3 linked regions of the Drosophila melanogaster genome follow. The protein of the gene in region 1 interacts with the protein of each later gene in a pairwise test. Each region holds a gene or a part of one and is shown on either strand. Other genes may lie near its edges.

The links.
Region 2: the proteins of trv (region 1) and RluA-1 interact in a two-hybrid assay, tested with the Drosophila melanogaster proteins (one large-scale study listed by BioGRID).
Region 3: the proteins of trv (region 1) and CG1394 interact in a two-hybrid assay, tested with the Drosophila melanogaster proteins (one large-scale study listed by BioGRID).

Annotation. Positions count from the first base shown.
Region 1 is NT_033777.3:28,024,536-28,030,157, reverse strand, and holds the start of trv (trivet), read right to left. Parts: upstream 3,544-5,622; 5' UTR 3,288-3,543; intron 1-3,287.
Region 2 is NT_033779.5:10,471,192-10,476,877, reverse strand, and holds the start of RluA-1 (RluA pseudouridine synthase 1), read left to right. Parts: upstream 1-2,528; 5' UTR 2,529-2,596; exon of another isoform or gene 2,597-2,730; intron 2,731-4,392; exon of another isoform or gene 4,393-4,551; 5' UTR 4,552-4,706; coding exon 4,707-5,402; intron 5,403-5,686.
Region 3 is NC_004354.4:11,169,153-11,173,101, forward strand, and holds CG1394 (uncharacterized protein), read right to left. Parts: upstream 1,527-3,949; 5' UTR 1,358-1,526; coding exon 854-1,357; 3' UTR 659-853; downstream 1-658.

The DNA of each region.
Region 1 (5,622 bases):
AAGGAGGCGCTGGCTTTTCAAAAAGTATCTTCCCGTGGGTGGGGTTTTGGCGCCTCGTTTGCCGATTCGCCCTCCATGGGCTGGCATCCGTCGTAGGCTTTCAGAAATCACTCAAAGTTTGTCAAGAACGAGAAAACCAATTTTTCAGCTGAGTGCATTTTAATTTCGTATACGCCCCGTGTTCGCCTGTTGAGTCCAGCAGAGAAGCAGCCCAACAGCCCAGAGACCAAAAACAGAAGACCGAATGCCTAACCCGAACTGCGTGTGCGATGGAAAGTTTGCTTTTCATTGCAATACGCTTGAAATGGCAACTTGGACAAACAGGACGGGCAGGGGTAACAATAACACGGGAAAAACCGAAAAACTCGAAGGCAAATGCAAGAAAAATTGGCTGGGCCTGTGCCCTTTTTCCTTCTGGCCAGCTCTCATTCCGTTCCCTTTTCCTGGCCAATTTGCATGCCTCTGTCCATAGAGCATTGTTGACTCCGTTGGCTTCGCTTCTTGGAATGTTCCAAAACGCATTTTGGCCAGCAACGAGTCCTTGCCACAGACCAAACAATGGAATATTAGATGTGACAAAACAGGTGCACGTGTCCAGCCATAGTAGCAACTGCCTGTAGCCAAATTTCTGAGCTGGAAGCTTTGCATTCGCCTCAGCCAGTTGGCAATGGCCATGGTTAATTGTCAAACTGCATGCTGGAGGCCATAAATCCCCATTTTACAACATACGTACAGTATCAATCAGAAGTCGATGGGGGTACTTGACAGAGGACTTCTAAAATTGCAGGTCTGAAATGAATACGGGGGTTAATCCTGAGTCCTGGCAATCGGTCAACGATGTGAACAGTTAGTATTGATCTAGGAAGAAGTTCAATTTCGTAAACCATAGGACATAGTGAGTAAAAAATATGCATTTATGCATTTACATTTATTGAAAATAAACAATCAACATAATGGCTATAGCTCGGTTGTTGTTGTTTAGAAACAACAAACAGACTCCGAATCGAACCAGATTATGTCCCGAAATCCGCTCTTGAAACTGACAGGTTTTAACTTTCCATGTTGCGTAGAACGGAAACAAATATCTTAAAAACAAATTTCCATAATTCCATAAATACTTGGCCCGCATAATGAAAAATATTTGCACAACTCAAGATCAAAAGTTTGGTGGCAGAGCCGGAATAGTTTAGTTTCAGGGTTTAGACAAGCAAGACAGCAACTTTCTGATTTTTCTTGCCGGCGATTAAGTTGCTAGCATATGGAAAGTTTGCTTTTTGGCCAACAATTTCCAGCTGTAATCGTGTTCAATTTGTGTGCACAATATCTGGGAAGAAACGCGTGCATATGCAACTATTGTGGCTCTCGCAGCTTAATTACAAAAACCGAAAGGGGTTTAGTCCGAGCACATAATCACTGGCAAGGACACAGACCGACCGCCGAGGTCCTTTGAAAGTATGTTTTGTGGCCCTGTGCTGTCCGTGAGATGTACAAAGCTGGAAGTACAAAGAAACTTACAAAAAGAATTTGGTAGCATCAAAGCAAAAATTTTTAATGAATTTCTTGCCGGCCAACAGAGCCGTAAGCCTGCAAAACGCACCATACGCAAATGCAAAAGGCGCAAAAAGGACGTGGAACCCCAGTCCAAAGCCCCCAGCCCCGTATGTATCCCCTCGTTTCCTGGGAACGGGAATGCAGGGTCAAAGGTCCGGCCAGGACCGGCACCACTTCATCTTCCCTTTTGGCCGCTGGCCCCGGCAATCGTGTTGCTCGTCGGTGGCCTTAATTAAATTTAAATATTTTATCACCGAAAAATTGCCAGGCGGCAGCAACTGCGCAACAACAACGGCAACGGCGGCAGGAGCAGCAGGACATGAAAAGGGTGCAAATGTGTGAGTGGGTGGGTGGGTGTGTGTGCGCCTGAGTGCAGACAGCCGAAAAATACTGATGTGGGTGTATTTTTCATTATTTGCCCAGCGCTGCAATTTTTTTTTGTTTTGCGCCCCACATGCTCGCCCTTGCCATCGCCGCACTTCATATTCAATTGTGTTGAATAATTGCCATACGGTTTTTTGACCAACGGTTTTTGACACTTTCCTAAAAGGACACACGCGCCCTCAAGTGCTCCGCCCACAAACACACATTCACACACACGCACACACACACAAACTCAAGAGCCGCCCTCATGCCACATTTGAAGTTCGTTTTCCCTTTTTCTTCCCAGCGACCGAAAAGTGAGCAAAACACTCGACCAACAGGGGGGGAAAACTCAGAGGACCTCTGGACACACACACACAAACAGACCAACAACAGGCAGCAGAACAGCAACAACAATTATAAAAGGAACTGGGTACAAAAACAAAACATGCCAAAAGCGTTTTTTGAAATATCTTTGTAAATATTTAAAATGTTCTGTACATGCGGGTGCTTCAATCAAACCGAATCGCCAATGGCAGGGGACGCGAAGAAATGGCCAGGATGGGGGTCCTGGAAAAGGTCCTGGGACAGGGACCAAGGCTATTGTGCGCCGGGCACAGGCCGGGACAAGTTTTAAATAGTTTTTGTTGGCAAATGTCAAAATGCAATTTGATATTCATAAATTAATGAAGCGCCATTGCAACAAAAAACCTCTCCTGGATTATAAAGTTTTTACATAAATTATGTGGTTGGGCTTTTGAGGGAAGGGTTGTGATTTAAATCTGGCATTTAAATGTGTAATCCTCGGCTGATTATAAATGCATTAGAACGGAACGGAAAATTGGAAATTCTTTCCAAATTCCATTGAGCTACCATTTGAATTTTGAAATATTGTAGTAAGGGTTACGTTAAAGTAATTAAAATACACTTCAGTGAAGAGGGCTTGTTAGAATAATTCCTTTTTAATACATTTCAGTTCGAAATTTCTGGAAAATTACCAAGTATTCCCTTAATTAAAAAAATTAACAAAAAATTTAATGTAAATTTTTAGTTGATTTATATAAGTAATAGCACGACGACAGAAGTTTTCTATATATTTGTTCAATGCATTGAAGGAATTAAAAAAAGTTTATTTCTGGATTCTCGTGAAAAAGATCTCAAAAAGGAGTGTAGCATCTCAGAATCCCACAAGATATTTATCTGACTTAAGGATCTGTTTTCTTGTACACATGCGCACCCTTTGAACCGCTGTTGTCATTTGCGGCTACTAAAAAAAAATGTAAACAAGGTCAGAACACGTAGCACAATAAAGAGAGCGACTGCCTTCTACTCACACTCTCCCTCTCTTCCGCCAAAATGCAGTGCTCACTTACACTAGTGCAGGTCCTGGCAGGACACCGCCCGAATGGCCCACTTTTCGATGGCTTGTATCGAATTTTTATACTTCGGCACAACAAAACTCGCGACTCGGAGAGGCAGGAACACAAATCAGGATGAGTATGGGAAAAACGAGTAAGCGGACGCGCACGTGGTAGCCGTGAAAACCGGGAAGTCAGGAAGGATATCCTTTCCAAGACATTAACGATTAGTTCTGAGCGAAAAGCAGCGCCTCGTGTCGACGAATTGACACTGAAGAGCCCAGTCGCCAAAGTCGGCGTCCAGCAGTTTCAGTAGCTTTTGAAGTGGCAGCGCTGCACCACCACCGAAAAAAAGAAGAAGAAGGCGACCCATCACACACACACACACACACACACGTGTGCCACCAATACAGGGTACGTAAGGCGAGCCAACCCAAGCAGCGGAATAAAGGCGAACGGCTCTTCTCTGTGGTTGACATTATCGCATGCAACTAAATCACACGCACACACACACACAGCTGCAGGTGCACCCACCCCTCGTCCTTTTTGCACCGCCCTTCGTGCGCTCATTCGCTCGTGCAACGTGGCGTATGGGTAACAATGGAGAGTGGCTCACACACACAGTCACTAACACACGGCTATCTGCCTTAGCGCCATTTATGGCATTTGATATGCTAATTTGCACATATTCATAGAGAGAGCTAGATAGAAGGAGAGAGAGAGAGAGCCAAGGACATCCACCACCAGGACGCAAAGGTGCGAGTATGACCATCTGCTGAACGAGGCCGGCTCATCACCAACTCCATCGTCCTGCTGCCTTGCTCCTGGCCAAGTGCCTCACGAGTATCTCTGTTTTGATGGCTCTTCAGTGCGCCCGTGTTCTGAGTGGCAGCGGGTTAAGTTGCCTGATGAGCTGCACTTTGTCATACGGACACACTCTGGGAGTTCCTTAATTATTTACAGCTCAAGGCGAGAATATGATTTTGCACCAGCATACGAAATCGAGATACTTTTTCGAATAATATTAAGTGATTTTAAAAACATTTTTAATTATCAAATATTTTAAGTAATTGATTTGGTATTCGCGTGCATCTTTGAACTAAAACAAATACCTAATTAAAATCTCTAGCCATTAAAGGATTTTTGGCTTACCATCTACTAGTATTTTATGTTTCTTACCTATTAACAAGTTTATATTCTACTAAGTGTAGCGCACTTTCCGAATTCGTTGAAGTCCTTCGGCTGCATCCACCACCGAGGAGCAGCACCACGTTTTCGTGAGCTCTCTCAACTCTCCGCATGCTGCAAGGATTCTCACCAATACCAATGCACTCGCAGCCTGCATGTACGACACAGAGGCGGAGTCTGAACGCTGGTCATGTAAAAGTCACAAAGCCTTATGTATCCAAAGGGGAGGCGCCATCGAACAAGAGTATATAGTCGCTCCAGAGCTTTAGTATTTCACAGAAATGACAAAATGGCGGACGATTTACGCGTATAAAGGTTCGAAAAAGATCAGTTCCGGTGAAAACCCCCTGGTAAATCGACGCCTCTGCTCTTTGTTTACGAGTTGTTTTGCGGGCGAGAAGCAATACAACAACAGGCTGGCGGCGAAAATGCGATACAAGTCACGAAGAGCCGCTCACCGAGAGCGAAAGTTAGTGCTCCTTGTATCGCAATTTTCCTCGGTTCGCTCTCGGCTGCAGAACTGCGATACAAGCCAGCAACAACTGTGGTATGAGCACGTGGCATCCTGTTGAGCCTGACCAAAGGAATCAGCTGACAGGACTCGGTAGAGCACCTGACACCTGCTAGCCGGCATCGACGACATCCTGGCAGGCCGATGGTCAAACCGGCGTCCAGTTTGACACTTTCCGGACATTATCTTTCGCTGGTCAGAGGGGCACATGTGACACAATCCAACGATGGCATCGTTGGCCCAAAACTTTGTCATCCATCCCGGCAAGAAAGCCATGAATATTACTGCGACTTTATCGGTGGCAGACAGTCTCCTCCTTGCTTCTTTGGCAAATTATGCAAATTTCAGATTTCCCAAGTAAACATTTACTTTACTTTTCAGCGCAGACAGCGTGGCCCGGCGGCGCTTAAACCTCCGACTTGCAATCTCCATCGTTCCTTTCGGCCATTTGACATTTGTTAAGTTTTCTTATCGCGCGCTTTCATTAGCGACCGTCGTCTGGTTCGGCCAGAGACCTTCTAATTGTCTTGCAAATTAGTCCGCCAGTGACGAAAAAATGCGACCCCCAGAGATGCGGGAAATCCCAAACCAGAACCCGCCGTTTATTTACCCATCGAACGACCGGAATGAGGAGCATGTGGCATCTGCTTG
Region 2 (5,686 bases), on another chromosome or scaffold:
GCAGTCCTGGGATAATGATAATGGCTTAACGTTTTTGAAACCTTATCTTCAAGCTGTTTAAGTTCTTTTAAAATAACACCCAAAATAACAAGCACTCGAATTGAAAATCCAAATTAGCAGCAGTCATAAAGAAGTTAATTTATAACTGCCTGCAATATCGCAAATAATATACGACTCGAGTTGGCATTTATCCAGCCTTAAGGCTTAATTACATTAACGTGTGTTCCCATATTTGGTAACTGCATACATGTGTGCGAACATGCATGTGGGAGTGTAATCGGAGGCCCAGCACACCTTTCTATATATATATACATATAAATGTTATATACAGGTTGGTAAGAGATCTGTGTTGTTTATAAACACGCGCATGATGGGCATGTTTAGAGGCAAAGCTTTTCTATGAAAGCGAAAAAAAACGCGATGTCGTCATTTTTAGTTTTGTCCAGGCGAAAAGTCAATTTAGAACAGTAGCTCAAATGTGTAGGTGTGTGTGCGGGCTCACACACACACATACACGAATGCGGATGGGAGAAATTTAATGGGTGAGCTAGCGCACACCTACAAAATATCGTGCTGATTTAATCACTTTCTTCGTTTTCACAAACGAACGTCAACTTCTCGCACACCAACACACACACACACACACCTAGTCGCACACACCCACACACACCAACCCCTGTTTATTCAGGATGAGCCCTATAGCTTTTTAGCCATATAGCCATATAGCCCCATAGCCAGTGGCCATTAAATGTTGCCTCAAATGACGGGCAAGCCTTTTCTTTGTTGTTCGCTTTCGTGACCAACCGCGTTTCAAGGAGACCTCCACTCCACTCCACTCCATATACCCGTAGACCATGGCGTCGGGATCTGAATGGAATGGCCCGTGCGAAAGTGGGTGAGTTTCGGAAAACAAAAGTCACGCAGTCAAACACGCAATTCGCGGAGCCTTAGCCCAAATTTGATCAAACATAATGCCTTCTGTATTTTGGTTAGTTGCTAATTGGAAAAAATTATTAAAACTAATCCAACTATCTTTGAGTTGTTTCAATAGTCCTTGCTTATCTAAGGATCAACACGAGCTCGCTTGATTTAGCTTAATTTGTTGCCTACTTTTTGGCGCTCAAAAACATGGAACCAAACTTACAAGGATAAAGTTGCTTAGATACTGAAACAAAAATTATGTTTTTTTAGATTATAATAAGAATTTCTTCACTTCCACAAGATCTACGTTACGAATTTCACTTTTGGTGAATCAGATCTTTTATACTTTTGTTTCGCTCATCATCAGCCTCAACATTCTTTTGTTCATTTTCACTGTGTCAATCGGAAAAGGCAAACGCATTGTTTTCAGAATATATGTACATTCATGTTGGTATGTAATTTTTGAGGAATTCTTTCGAATGATTATTTGGTGCAAGTCGTAACTGATATTAGAAGGTTGTGGCTGCAACACCAGAAGTATGATTTTGAATATGAAATTGCTTCGAGCATTCCGAAAAAGTGGATTTTATACGAGTAATTGTGGGTGTGCCAGAGGACACTTACCATTTGTTTAGGGGAATTGTGTCAAATGGTCCCTGTGGCTTTGCACATCAGTGAGTTGATAGAAAAATTCAAGAGCAACTTACTCGAAGTCCTATAGAATTAAGCTGACCACTTACACAATTTTGTTTTTGAAGAAGTTCTTTACAAAATTAAAAAGAAGATGAATTGCTAAATTTCGTATGTCATAAAACCATTGCGATACTAATTTCTGGCCTAATTTGTAAAATCCTTTTTATTTTACAAAAATGCTAATACAGTCATGTTGGAATGTGTTGCAAGCAGGCAATCGCATGTTGCATGTTGCAGTTCCATTTCGAGTGCAACCACAACCAAGTCGCCCGACTTTTTATTTGAACGCGAAAGGTGAATTTTGGATTAAGGCCTTAAACCACAAAAATTAATCAAATTAATGGTTAATTCAATGGTTTTGGCAACAATTAAATGCTTTACCTAAGTAGGTCTTAATTGGTGCACTTCGAAATAGACATTCTAATAAAACGCGTAATTACTCGTCAAAGTATTTTATTTTAGTAATTGAATTATTTATTTATTTATTTTGCTGTTTGGCGCATGAGACAAGATTTTTAATTATAAGAGTTCCATAAACTTGATTTTAAATTATTTTAGAAGAAATACTGCTAGAAAAAAAAAACTACATTTCATGTAATTTATTGACAACTTACCATTGCATCAAACAAGTTACAAATTCACCACTATACAGTGGACCAAAAATGCATTTTATGGGTAAGAATAAAACTGTTTGGGAATAATATATTTATTATAATGTTAAAGTTTTTAAATTTGTTTTACCATATTGCAAAACCGGCTCGAGATTTTCGTAAATTGAATCAAACATTTAAACACCTGATCCTACCAAACATTTTAAAATTAAAAATGCGGTTTGCCCCACTGTGCAGCGGAAAATTCACCACGACGGCGAACGGCAACCCAAGTTTGTTATGTTTGCGCCAAGTTTTCTGATTTCATTCGGTGTTTTGGACTCGGCGAGACTGGAAGTTGATGCTGCCGCGTGAATGCCATCGTCGGTCAGGTATTAAAACGTGACACTTCTAATTCGCGTGTGATTCCCCCGAGTTTGCAGTCAATTTGTGATCAGAAAACATTTAAAATGCGTGGTTTACTTTGTGAAAAGATCTAATAACACTATGAAACTTAAATCAATGTGCAAGTGACGGTTATATAAATTAATTATATTAATTTAAAGCATAAATAATGCGAAGAGCCTGCAAATAAAGTACACTAAAAATACTCAAGGAAACATAATTTTTGTCGACATAACTCGAACAACATAATAGTGAATAATCAACGGCGCCGACATTTTGGCTGAAGAATACAAATTTTCATAAACGACAAACGATAATTTTCCATAACCAATAATATTATGACACATTTTATTGGATTTTAGTGGCTGAAACTATGGAACTTTGAATGAAATGATTCAAATAATTGGGCATATGTTAGAATTCATTGCTATATAAACCGATTATTATGCGCTTATTAATAGGAAAAGCAAAACTAAAAGAAACATTCTCCATCGGGTCGCAAAACGGTCCATTAAAATTATTATGTTGTGCTCTATGAAATTCTATGAGCCATTTTAGTTTTGTATTTTCCTTACCAACAGTTTAGAAACGAATTTACCTTCTGCTGGCGCAGATATACAAATTTTCTTATAAATATAGAAGTATCTCTCACTAAATTTGTTGTTCTTGCTTTTAAGCCCATGATCTATTGTCATCCTGGTGATTTTGAGATCTGGGGACTTACACATGAAACGTTCACACGAGCGCATATATAGGATGATTTTTTTTTTTTAAATATATTTTTTCTTCCCATTGTCTACACATAATATAGTTATGCAAGCATTTTGTTTGAGAAATGTACTAAAATCACTCGAAAAGATACACAATTGTGGCTGATAAAATGGAACTAAGACAAAAGACGACTGATGACAAAAATGAATGTGGCTATATCTCTATGTCTCTATGTACATACATTCCTGCGTCTTAAGGCACCGAAAATCTCGAATAATTCTTTGAAATTCTGGTATCTTGTCGATACAGCCCGAGTGGACCTAGTAATATACAAAAACTTAATTTAGCACAAGCTGCTAGCGCAAATGAAAATGTTTACACGTGCGCATTTGTGCCATTTGTCTCAGTAGGTGGTGAGGTATATATGCACGCTATATATACATATGTACATATATATATACCTGATTCTAAACATTCTAAATCGTGAGCCGATATCCTCCTAATGCCTGGTCTCGTATACGTATTATTCCATCCATTACACATCCAAACAGTCCAATATATAGGCACCCCCATACGCATTTCTTCTTGCCAGAATTCTGACAGACGCATGTACGGTTCCGAATGTAGGTTTATACGTATTCTAGAGGATATATTAGACTTTGTCTCGTGCAATTAGAGTAGCCAAGTAGCAGATGGCCCCCGCGTGTATTCCAAATGTATTTTCAAAGTATCCATTATCGTTTGGCTTGTATTTAGCAAAAGGAATCTACAACTCTCATGCGAATAGAAATTCTTTGATCCAATAATGCTCTTGTGTATGTATGGCCAATGAAAATATTATTGTTAAAAAAATATTAACGCGCACACGATAGACAAAGTTAATGCAGTGCAAAAGCTAATCAACATATTGTTCCGACTTTTGTGTGTGTGTGTGTGTGTGTGCGATGGGCTATTTTTTAACGCCAATCCGCTAATAGAAACCACAAATTAACGCATTTCGTGGAGCCTAATATGCAAGCTTTGGTATAGGTGTTCATAAACACTATAAAAAATAAATAAGTCGTTTGTTTAGGTTTTTAATTCGCATTATACAAGCCCGAAAATCGCTTCGACTTTTCAAATAAAACAGTCGAAACAGCATATGTACGGCCAAGACAATTTGTAAACACGTACAAGTACACAAAACGATTTGTAATTGACTTTAAGAGCCATAATGCTATCGCAATCGAAGTAAACAACAGATGATCGTATAACTCGGGAATGTATCCGTGAAGTTTTCTATCCGCAGCGATATTAATGTCATTTTCGATCAACAACAAAAAAAAACCCATCCAATCTGCAGTTTCCTCTCAGTGAAGTGAATAATTGCCCAGGATCGTGTCAACAATGCAGAATTCTCCGGCTCCGTGTGCCTGGTACTTGCCCTGGTCCCTGGCCGCCCAGCAGCACCAGCAAAAGATGCTGCAAATGCAGTCGCCGTTTCTGGACAAGATGGGCGCCACATCGGTGGGCGGCATCTTCGCTGGCCAGCCGCAGATGCAGCAACAATTGTCGCCCAATACGGCAGCAGCACCGCCGGCAAACTATCAGCAGCCCGCTTTGCATCCAAGCGCCGCACCAGGCGCACCACACTTCCACATGGGATCCCCGTATAGCCATCTGGCACCGCAGCTCCTCAACGCCGGACAGCTGAACCAGAACGCACTGATGCACTCCGCCATGTTCTCTTCCCTGCCACTTGGTGCGTACTATGCACCCGCCGCCGGCGCAGGTCACTCGGCCTTTGGTGGCGTTCCCCTGACCACGGCTGCCCAGCAATCTCTATTGGCCGCCACCGGAGGAGCAACTGCTGGCCATTTGGCCAACCAGCAGACGACGGCTCAAGTGCCCGTCCAGGTGCCCGTGCAAATGGCCCAACGGACAGCTCCGGCCGCCTGCTCCATGGTCCAGCCACTTAACTGCCTGCCGCACCAGGAACTGAATCACCTGTCGTCCATCAATCTCAACCTGCTGCGCAGTCCGGCGCCTCCGCTCCCAGCCATTCAGGTCTTGCCAAGTGCCGAGGTGCCGATTAATAAGAAGGTGAGTTGCAGTTTGCTTAGTACTTGTAATGATAGGCACTATTCGTACTTGAGCGAAGGCTAGTACTTAAATTACGTAGACAAGTGCACTGAGGCAAAATATCAGTAACTAACTTAGTGGTACAATAATATACGAAAGATAGTCTCACATGAAACTATTATCTTAATGATGGAAATATGTTACGTTAAAGGGTGGAGCAGTTTCATTGCCTTTTTTGTTTTCTTGATCATTCATAATTGGTATATTGAATACTTCATTGTATAATATATACACGTTTCTTAATT
Region 3 (3,949 bases), on another chromosome or scaffold:
GTTCGAGCCAAACAATAGAATAAATATATAATGACTTGGTAACATTACGATTATGCTAAATTCATGTAATTTTAGTATAAATCATCGAATCTTTTTTTAAGAATAATTTCCCAATGGGCATACCCATTTTTTTGTAAGTGCATCTCGTTAGCGTGTTGAGAAATTGCCATCTCATCACTGTGACAATCAGCCACGCCCTGTGATACGACAAAAGGGGCGGCAGGCGTTGTATTTGCATAGTTAGAAACGATGAAACTTGTATTGTTTTTTGTACTTTACAATGCGAATCTCAAGAACATATATTTATACGAAGTGCTCAAGATAATCATACGGTGGAAAATTGGGTCTATTAATCTTATAAATGGTTTGCACCTAGTTATTTAAATTTGATTTGTTTAAACTAAATAGAAAAATCGAAATATTTACAATGTAAGCTTGATTTGTGCTTTAATTATTTGTATAAAAAATAAAACTTCAATATTTGACTGCCGAGTGAAAATAACAATAGTAACCTTTGCCATACATCACATTTTGCCTATTTAGTAATTAGCATATAAAATATATGCGATTTGAGTTTACAACGCTCTTCTCACATTCAATTTGCCGCACGTTAACTCATCTCTGTATTTATTAATGCAATTAACCCACCCACCGATTTGTGCCAACTGATTATTTTCATATCTTATGGATTTATGACATTTATTTTATACATTTTCGCCAAGTACGAGTCGTTTGAGCTGCACAAAACGGACGTTTGGTTCGAAAACTAATTGTGTATGTATATGGCCCATATGCGATTCACTTTAGTCGTTCGGTGAAGATGCTCGTGCTGTCATTGTTCGTGGCATCGATCCTACCAGAAGCCACCCTTGGATGCACTGCCTCCGCCGTAGTTCATGCTCATGTCCATGCCGTTGTAGGCGCAGAAGGCTTCGCCATTGTCGATGCACGGTTCATTTCGTCCGGGTATGTCTCCATATATTGAACGGTCCACGGGTGGCGGCACTATATGCTGGGCTCCTGTAATGGGCATGCCACACGACATGGCACCCGGCATGGCACCCGGCATGGCACCCGACATGGCACCCGGCATGACGCCCGGCATGGCACCCGGCATGGCAGCCGGCATGCCACCGGCTCCTCCGGCGTATGGTAGCATGGAGTGTGCCTGAGCTGCGCCCTGGCTAGGCCAACCTCCTAGTCCGCCGGCTGATCCTAATCCTGGTGCTGCTGCTGTTGCTGATAGTGGTGGTGGAGCGGCTGCTCCAGCGGCAGAGTGCTGCATGAAGTCACCCATCTGCGGATAAACGGGAGCATTCAACGGCTGGCCATTCCAGTACGAAAACGAATTCGACATATTGTGAGTTGCGGTTGAGTAAATCCTAAATACAAATAATTTGGGAAAGTGGTGAAAAAGAAACAGTTTTTCTTTCGATTTTTTTTTTTTTGACCAAATAAAAGTTGTACAAAATTTTGCTCCGCTGAACGGTGTTTACTGTTTGGGATCTAAAATATAACTGATAATCTGGAGCTCCGGCTGGGGTACCTCGATTTTTCGGCTTGACATTTAATTTCATGGATATGTTGATTGGAAATTTTTGGAAATTTTTTTTCGACCGATTGCAGTTGGCCATGAAAATACATACGATATTAAATTGATTGTTTTACCTTGGCACATATTTTAGGTTTAGCTCTTCCATAAAATGCCTAAGAGTAAATATATTTTCTAAATATTTTGAATAGCAAATTATAAGTTACCATAGTATATATGTACATCATCGTAAAATATTTGATTTATTAACCTGACATAAGATTGTTCATAAAGGTTTTTGTGCTTCTAATTCAGGTCATTCCGTGTTATTTAGCATACAATTTTATATTGTGATAAATGACATTTCTTTTTATTTTCATTTCATCTTTTTGCTCTTGAGTCTTGATTCCTATTTCTATGATTTTTTTTTTTTGGTTTAGCCTTGTCGGAAAATGGGGGCGGTGGGCGACCGAGGGGCGTGGCATGGCCAGCGTTGTGTTTAATTTTTGAAAAAGGACGCCAACTGTCGTGATGCAGCACAGATGATAATGACGAAGACGCGGCAACAAACGTTTATTTACACACTGGGTATTAAATGGGTATTAAAGACTTGGTACCATAAAATAGAAATAAAACATTGTGCATCTAATTACTTTGCTAACTATAAAACAATTATAAAACTGCATTAAATTCGATTAAAGTAATTGAACATTTTGGCAAATATAAGCAATTATATGCTATTTCGTGTTTAACTTTCAACTTGATCTTATAGCCCATCTAACACGTTTTGATTCACACATGATTGGCATTTAAATACGGTATTTTTAAGGTTCTCACCCTCTTGGCCATTCACATTCCACTTGATTCTTGTGCCAAGCATAAAATGCAAAACACTTGAACTGAGTGAAAACGAAGGCGAAAGCAAAATAAGCAACAACAAAATGTCTCATAAACCAACCAGATGCAGTGAAAGAAAATTCATACTAAAAATATATACATATATAACAAATGTACAGTATAAATTATTACTTTATAGTTCTAGTTGACAATAAGGAATTAAATGTTTCAACATTGCGTATGCTTAATATTCAATGCTGATATTGCGTATACGCAACGTTGGCCGCATTTTATTTTTAACTGTGCCTGCGAATATGAAGAATAAGCAGTAAGCTGAGAGAAAAATAAAAGAACGCAACATGGCAGGGTGTTGATAATGATAGCAAAGACAAAGGCCCACGCCTAATGGGACACGGAATGACGACTGAGGGGCGATGATGAGGCGTTGGCCGGATGGCAGGATAGCTGGATGCTTGGATGGTTGGATGGTTGGATGACTGTAAGGCCGGGTGACCATCCGACTGTCATGCCCACGTCCTTGACGCGCTGCAGTGGCGACAACGTAGTTAAATTGCCTGTCCTCGGCCGGCGTCAACATTGTGTCATTGCTAGTATTAAATCAGAGCCAAACAAATGATGATACATAAGTGCGACACAAGTGCGCAAAAAAAAGAAAAAAATATACAAACACAGCGAAGATTAACCGAAATGCTGGGTGGGAAAATTAAAATTACAGCACATAGCTTTGGTGCACTGAAAGAAAAATCCAGCACATTTTAATATTCAAGGTTCTTACTTTAACTATATAGTAGTTAAATTGCAATAAAATTGAAGTTATTTAAACCGATACTATTATTTATGACTACACACTGTGCACTTCTTGTGCAAAGAAATTTGTCTCAATATAAATTATGCTGGAATTCCTCTGGTTTTTCGTGTCTTAAGCGCTGTAAGTGATCAACTGAGTTCATATTTCAACGCCTGACCTTGGGTCATTCCAAATTATGTGATGCCAACTATGCCGGATGGGAGACTGATGGGCCAGGGCAGCTGGGTTGGCGAGCTGGTAACTAGAAAAGGGCAGCGGGTAAAGCGGGAAGACAAAGAGGCCAGTGCATAGCATAGTTCATCAAGTTTGCAAACAAACGCATACCACAGTCGGACTTCAAGGAGGCGAAGCGTCTCGAGGGGGGTGGGGGACTTCGACTTGGGTCAAATATGTTAGCAGTTGCATTCTGTTTTGGCTGGGAACAGCAAACATTCAAGTAGCTGGCAAAGGACAAAGGACCAGCACAGTGAGCCAAAATGACAAAGTAAATATAGTAAGGAAAAAAATTGACTTACAGATTAATTACTAAGTTAATTCGGTCTTTGAGACTATGTATGCAAAGCAGTATTGAATTTATAGCAAGCTTCATAAATTATGGAACTTAACCCATAGATTTATATGACTTCCTCTTAGTAAATCTTCACCACTGTAGCACAGTGTAGTTTTATCGCATTACTACAGCCGGTGGACCACTTTTTCTCTCTCTTTCCATTCACATCTACCTATTTCTTTCTCCGCCTCTGTCTGTTCGC